Linked DNA regions of Bombyx mori. The protein of the gene in region 1 interacts with the protein of each later gene in a biochemical or structural test. Links are inferred from orthologs where the notes say so. Each region holds a gene or a part of one and is shown in the gene's direction. Other genes may lie near its edges.

What was found.
Region 2: the proteins of nuclear pore complex protein Nup154 (region 1) and mRNA export factor Gle1 form a complex in vitro, tested with the Homo sapiens proteins (2 studies listed by BioGRID). The link is inferred for Bombyx mori from reciprocal best matches to the Homo sapiens genes NUP155 and GLE1.

Annotation. Positions count from the first base shown.
Region 1 is NC_085116.1:9,158,223-9,160,841, reverse strand, and holds the end of nuclear pore complex protein Nup154, read left to right. Parts: intron 1-348; coding exon 349-529; intron 530-1,195; coding exon 1,196-1,267; 3' UTR 1,268-2,119; downstream 2,120-2,619. Other genes in the region: neural cell adhesion molecule 2, read right to left, coding at 2,447-2,527, 2,598-2,619.
Region 2 is NC_085131.1:3,947,275-3,951,831, reverse strand, and holds mRNA export factor Gle1, read left to right. Parts: upstream 1-1,447; 5' UTR 1,448-1,711; coding exon 1,712-3,709; 3' UTR 3,710-3,998; downstream 3,999-4,557. Other genes in the region: DNA polymerase epsilon catalytic subunit 1, read right to left, coding at 1-110, 426-549, 624-706. UniProt on the Homo sapiens protein: Required for the export of mRNAs containing poly(A) tails from the nucleus into the cytoplasm. May be involved in the terminal step of the mRNA transport through the nuclear pore complex (NPC).

The DNA of each region.
Region 1 (2,619 bases):
CACGTAAGTAAGCCAGTGTTTGGTTGGTGTGAGTTTTTTAACGTTCTCGATAGCGTAAAAGTTAACTCAAATTTGTATACAGTTTTTTTTTATTGCTTAGATGAGTGGACGAGCTCGCTGCCACCTGGTGTCAAGTGGTTACTGGAGCCCATAGACATCTAACCACTTAAACGCCACCTTGAGATATAAGTTCTAAGGTCTCAGTTACAACAGTTGGAACAGCGCCTCTAGCGGCAAACGTAGGCAAACGTTTAAACTCCATACAAATTTTGAGTTAACTTATACTATGTCGAGAACATTAAAAAGCTCGCACTAAGCCACACAGATGTAGAGTTGTCGTGGTCGCAGGCTGGTGAGCGTGAACGAGCGCGTGTGGCTGGGCTGCGGCGAGGAGACGCACGCGTGCGGCGCGGCGGCGCGGCTGCTGGAGGCGGCGCGCGCGCACGTGCAGCCGCTCGCAGCGCACGTGCGGCGCCGCGCGCTCGCCCGCTGCAAGGACCTACACGAAGCCGCCCTGTCCGCGCTTCAGGTCCGTACTTTGTGACTTATCTTTTAGAACTAACGAAGACGCCTTTCAACCTTTTGTAAATCATTATTTTAATTCGATTTATCAAAAAAGAATTTGTCGATAAATATATTGTGTTAGTATTTTTTTTTTATCATACCTATGCTGATAGCTTTGAGAGGCTATTTCAGCTTCACCCTAACGTGTAGGTGAGCTCACGAGGCTCGAACCGGAGTGATGCTAACACTGACACTAGCAAGAGCAGTGCTTCGCAGAATCTACCACCGAATCCAAAACGCGACCCACTGAGAAGATCCGTCGAGAAATTCAGTGGGCTGTGTCTATTATGGTTTAATTCGCTCGTCGAGCCCTTCGTCGCAAGCGACGGGTTCGACGAGGACGGTGACCTGGTATTAGTAATGATATAATAAGTAATGGTATGTTTATTGTCGAAATACATTGCTTTGTTTATTTATGCATATTTGAAAAGTCGTGGTGTTTACTGCTAAAACGAATATTATGGGGAGTACAAAAGATTCCTTGCAACTGTCCGGGCTTGTTGTGAACGGATTCATGCAGAAGATGTAACTCTCGCCTGCTAATCTAATGATTCCTTTGTTTCCTTTACATTTACATTGTCACATTTGCCAATATATTACAGAAATGTATTTAATATGTCATTGTTAACAGGCTCGTCCCAACACACAACACCTGATAGAAAGGTTGTCAGTCGCACAGGCGCACCTAGATCGTATGGATTAATGATAAGTTTTTAGTTATTATTTTCACTGAAACATTTTAGTATTTTTTTTTAAATTCTGTTCAGTCTGATTTCGTCACCTTTTTTGTTCAAGACTGATATTAATATATTAACATGGATTTTTAATTTTTATATACTAAACAATGTACGTATACTTTGGGCAAATATTCATTAAAATATATCTAATATTAAGTATCCCATCTATAGCTGAGCGTCTTTGAGTAAAGCACAGAGATAAAGTTTACAAATGAATTTAAGCATTGGTTACTAATTCAAAACACAGAGTGATAGTTTTCATATAACTTTCACTTATTTTTAATATTGCCTCTTAATTCGCCTGTTTGTACTATGTTAGGTTATTAAATGTGATGAGAGCTTAATTTCTTTGCGTGATTGACATTTTACCAAAAACTGGTTTCAATAAAATATTTCTAATTAGCTGTATTATTCTATTTGTTAGTAAATAAAATCAAAAACTGTTGACTGTTGATAAAAATAAATATTGAATAATTTGATCATAAATAAAAACATGGAATCTTGCTTGTTTATTTTTTTATTTCGTTTCATTGGTACAGTTCTCAGATATAACTAATAACATTTTAGTGTGCACAAATATTTAGACTATACATAATTAACTGGCAGAATTGTTTGTTCCGTTGGCAGTGATAATAACATTGAATTATAATGAAAATGTTTTGTACCGTATAATGTAATAGTCACGGTTATTGTTCCATATAATATAATACCTCATTTAATCATGTATTTCGAAAAGTGATCTAGTTTAATTCTTAACTGATTTTGTGAAGAAAAAAAAATGTTTCTATTTTTGTAAATAAATATTTATCGTGTAACAATATTCGTTTCATTATTAAATCTACTGAATAGTGAGATCTAGATTATTGGTAAAAGGTGTAAGATTCTCTCATCTTCATTACATAGTATCCCTATGTATGCTTAAATCTTTAAAACTACGCACCGGATTTTGATGCGGTTTTTTTTAATAGGTAGAGTGATTGAAGAGGAAAGTTAAATGTATAATAAATAACATTCATTAAATAGTGGAGAAATCAATAATAAATTACAGTTTCCGGAGCGAAGCGATGGCGGGTCGCTAGTATCGAATAAATTAAAATCCTAAAAATGATATTGAAATCGTTGTTACTAAAAAGTACATAATGCTATTACAGTCCGCACTCTCTTGGGGTAAAATAAGCTTTGTAAGTGGGTATGACGCTAGCGGTTCCGAGAGTGCTCGGCGTTTCCTTTAAAATTAAGAATTCGTTAAAAAACATTCGACTATGATGAATCGTCTTCAAAAGGATTAGTATTTACCTGGTGCCCGCGGTGGTCGTCG
Region 2 (4,557 bases), on another chromosome or scaffold:
AGAAAATATGGTTGAAACATTAATGAAATTTTGAATCTGGTACCGTCCATCTCTATGAAATAGTAATCCATGGCAGCAACTAATCGTTTGTCTTCATCGAGTACCTCAGCCTAGTTGGAATGTTTAATAATAAATTTTAAGCCCTTCTTATCGGAGCAAGTAAGTCTTTCAAGTAATTACTACTTATTACACTGATAAATGAATTTTAATGCAAAAACTAAAATTTGTGTTTTCTTAAGAGAGATCAACTCACCAAGGTGAAAAGGTAATATGACGAAATTTACTATACAAGTGTTGTAGTTTTAAATGTAGGAGTCTTCTACAATATTGAAATTACAAAAAGTAATTACAAAATTGAAACTTTACGCATACTCGTTCTCATGGTTGAGGAGATGTGAATTTAAATATTTACAAATCATAATTACCGTGTGCATATTGATCAAGTAGCCAGTCCTTTCTTTTAAATCTCTCACTCGATCGAAACCATACTTTGAGTCAATTCTGTCATTCTCCAGAGCGGCACGAATTCTAGTTTCCGATGACTCTTCCCTTATAACATTAAGTTTAACGTTAAATTAATATCACAAATGCATTAACTTTATAAATGTTCTTTCTACACTTACTTGAGCCCACCTGAAGAAGTTCCTTCTCTTCTAGCAGAATCATCTTTATCGGGTCGGTATTTTCCAGTATTTTGAAGCACCATGATTAAAAAAGTACCTCGCAATATTAAACTAATCACGTACCATTATTATCCAAGATAATTTAATAATATTAAAACCTCCTTGTAAATTCCTCAAAATTATTTTGTATCAACAAATAGATTCAAACAGCTGACCAATAACAATTCAGAGCTTCTGCAGTGACACTTAAGCGCTGTCAAATTTCCCGCGAAATTGATTTTACTTTTCGAACTAAACAGACGACCAGAGACAATTTTTTTCGTGCAATTTTTCCTTATTAGGAAAAGAAAGGGATCTAAGCCCATACAGCCTTGTCTATTCTATATACGACAAATATTTTAAATTGAATTTTTTTTGATGAGATTCAATTCCATTGTTTTTCATTCACTTCAGTACGACTATACGTAATTATGTTTTGATTGGCGTTTTTTATGAAAAAACAGACATAAATTATTATATTTTTACTTAATTTTGAAAAGAAAAATATTTTCGTAAATATTTAAAATATTATCGTCTTAAAGTATATTGTATAGGTTCTTCTACAACCAAGGTGGTAATAATAGGCATTCGTAACATCCCTTTATAATATGCCAACCACTTTTTTAGTTTTTATTCTAAACCCAAAAATGTATAACACAAGAGTTCAACGTGCAATCTAGCCCATAGATACAGCTCGCTGAGTTTCTCTTTGGATTATAGCTGGGAAAGTCCACTGAAAAAGTCTCAGTAAATGACCACCATTTTACTGAGATTATATTTCATTATCACATTTGTAAATTTAATTCATTTTTAATCATTTATGTTAAGTCCTGATTAGTTTCCGTTCTTTTTCATAATTTATAAACTGTAAATAATTAAAACGGCGAATTGTAAAAATCTTTTTACTTGACGCTGGCTTATGCACAAACCGTGCCGGAGCCAAAAAATAAAGAACAAGAAGTTTATGGTCTGGTAAAATGGTTGTACAATGCAGGTGCAGGTGTATAAGTAGTAATATGTACATTTACAAGTATTTTTAAGGGATACACATGAATAGTACAAAGAATTCATCTTACGACAGCTACAATGATAGACTTGGAGAAATTCTCAATAGAAGCATTACTTCGAAAATGAGAGATTCTAGTATTGACGAAACTTTAGCGGGGTTTGGCAAATTAAGAATATCAGCCCTTACTAAAGCCGTTGAATTAAGTCCTTTAGTAAAAGAAGCGACCATAGGACCTAACAGTCCTGCAAAGAAAGAATTAATTTATGAAGAAAAACAAATCCCCGCCAAAATTGAACCGTTGCCAGAGGACCTTGTTGAAGATAAGCTCCGAGGGGATCTCGGTTATAATCTCATAATGAAAGAATGTGAAGCACAGTTGCATCAATTATCAGTGGAATTTTTCAGAAAATCTTTTGAACAGATGATTTGTAAAAGGGCGGAAATAATGAACAAATGCTTTCAGAAGTATAGCGAACAACGTGAGCGCAGAGACATGAAATACCATAAACGGAAACTACAGCTACAGAAGGATTTTCATGAAAATGACAATTTAAATGTATTAAAAATAGCCAAATTAGATGAACAGAACAACAGTGCAATGATCAACAGGCAGACAATTGACAATATGAATAGAATCTTAGAAGAACAAAATAAAGCCACAGCTCGATTTGCGGCAATAACTGACAGTCATACTAAAATATGCATCTGTTATAATGAAATCACAAACGTAATAGCTTCGGAGCCTCTGTCCCAACAGGTTTGTGACAAATACATACCGACTATCAAAACAGTCATTTCTAATATTAGTGCTATCATGGAACTTTGTAAAAATGCATCTGTTACCGACAAAGAGGTAAAACAAGCAGAAATATTATCTTTGAACTTAGAAAATGTACTAAAAAAGATTTTAAATGAAATTAATGAAATTAAAGAAAAGGAAAGGATTTTGAAAGATAATGAAAGGGAATTATTGAAATTGAAAGAAATAGAAGAAAAGAAAGCTAGAGAGTTGGCTGAAAAGGAAGCGCAAGAAACAAAGGTTCCTGAGGTGACAAAAACTGTTAAAATAGTTCGTCCTGATAAAACAAAGGTCAAACCCATGTTCTACTCCAGTAAAAACTACAACTATTTTAAAGAGTTAAGCAACTTTATGATAAGTTATGAAGCACAATACAGTGATTTATTAGAGAATGTAAACATGAAAAAGTTTAGATTTGACTGCCAAAAAGCTGTGAACACTCCAGTGAATGCATTGTCTTCAGTTAGTAGTACACACATGAAGGACAAATATGAAAAGCTGTACAAACTACTCAAAGGAGAGAGTGTTCAAGTGTTAGACATATATTTTACTGTAACTCAGCATCCACATGGAGTGGCATACTGTACAGCACTCTTAGCCAAGAAAATAGTGAGGCAAGGGGAGTTATTGGTTTCAAGTCATCCTGAAGCTGCATTCCCATTAGCAGCTGTAGTTATAGCACTTTGGGCTTCTTTCCCAGATTTTGGAAAATTATTGCTAGCCAATTTTCACAAGCAGTGCCCTTATTTAGTTCCCATGTTTATGCCCCAAAAAGAAGGTCAAACAGATAAGGAATTCTACTTGTCTAGAGGGTATACATATAATGATGAAGGTGTAGTTGAAAAACAAGATAAATTCTTGAAAAGAATGTCAGGTATCTTTAGACTCATCTGTGCTATTTGGATAATGAGCACCCCCAAATTTATAAACATACCTAACCCCCATGGATTACAATATGGATGGCAGTGGCTTGCATCTTTCATCAACTTGAAACCAGAACCTGATATATCTGCCACTCTTCTTTATGATTTCTTTACAGTGTGTGGGTCTAAATTTCTCTTACATTATAAGATACAGTTTATTAAGTTAATAAAATTAATTAGCACAGATTATTTGGAAGTTTTACAAAACATTGATGAAGGAGGGCCGAAAACAAGACTGGAAGTACTCTTACAAAACATACTGAAGACCGGACACATTGATCCTCCCAGTGGTTTGTTACAATCAGATATATGGTGAACATCTCTCAATTATTTGTAAATTTATCCAATCCAATTATGAAATATTGACAATAATATCAATGATAGTGCATGTTTAAAAGTGTTATTATGTCGAACGAGTAAAATAAAGTGAATTGATTTGAATGTATTTCATTAATTATTTAAGCTGTGTACTCATTGTGAACAATCATAAACTTAAATTTGACTGTAAATCATAATAATAAAATTTCTGCCTACTTATGTTTTAAACTTTTTCAACAATGCACTGAAAATATTCAATTAATGTGAATTAAATGTTATCCAAGAAACTCTCTTTAATAATCCCCATCATTTTTTACACGCTTTGACTGATGACTGATCTCTATTGATCTTTCTCAATAACTTAATTTTTATAAACAAAAAATGTATGAGTATTCATTACTCTGGTTTCATTTTCTTCCCAGGATCAAGAGGAATATAAATATGATTTTGTTTGGCTCGGTGTTAACGCTTTTCGTTAAACTTTTCGCTAACCTTACAGTTTATAAACTATTTATGGTGATGGATTTAAAACAATAAGTGGCCTACTTCATCATGCGTTCGTCATTCAGTCAAACTCATCAATATGACTGCTTTGATTTCTTACTATATAACGTAGCCACCTCTTTTTTTTCCTATCTATTCGCTGGTACCCTAAGCCTATTCAGACAATAGTATTATTTGGCTCAACAGTATATGGCTTGCTATATTGCAAACCGATACATATCTAGGCAGCAAGATCATCATAATCCCAAATGCATAATTAAACATTTTTTCCATATTTGTAAGATTTGCTTACGACCTCATACATATTTGAATTTATTAAAATATGATCTTTGCTGGGTTTTT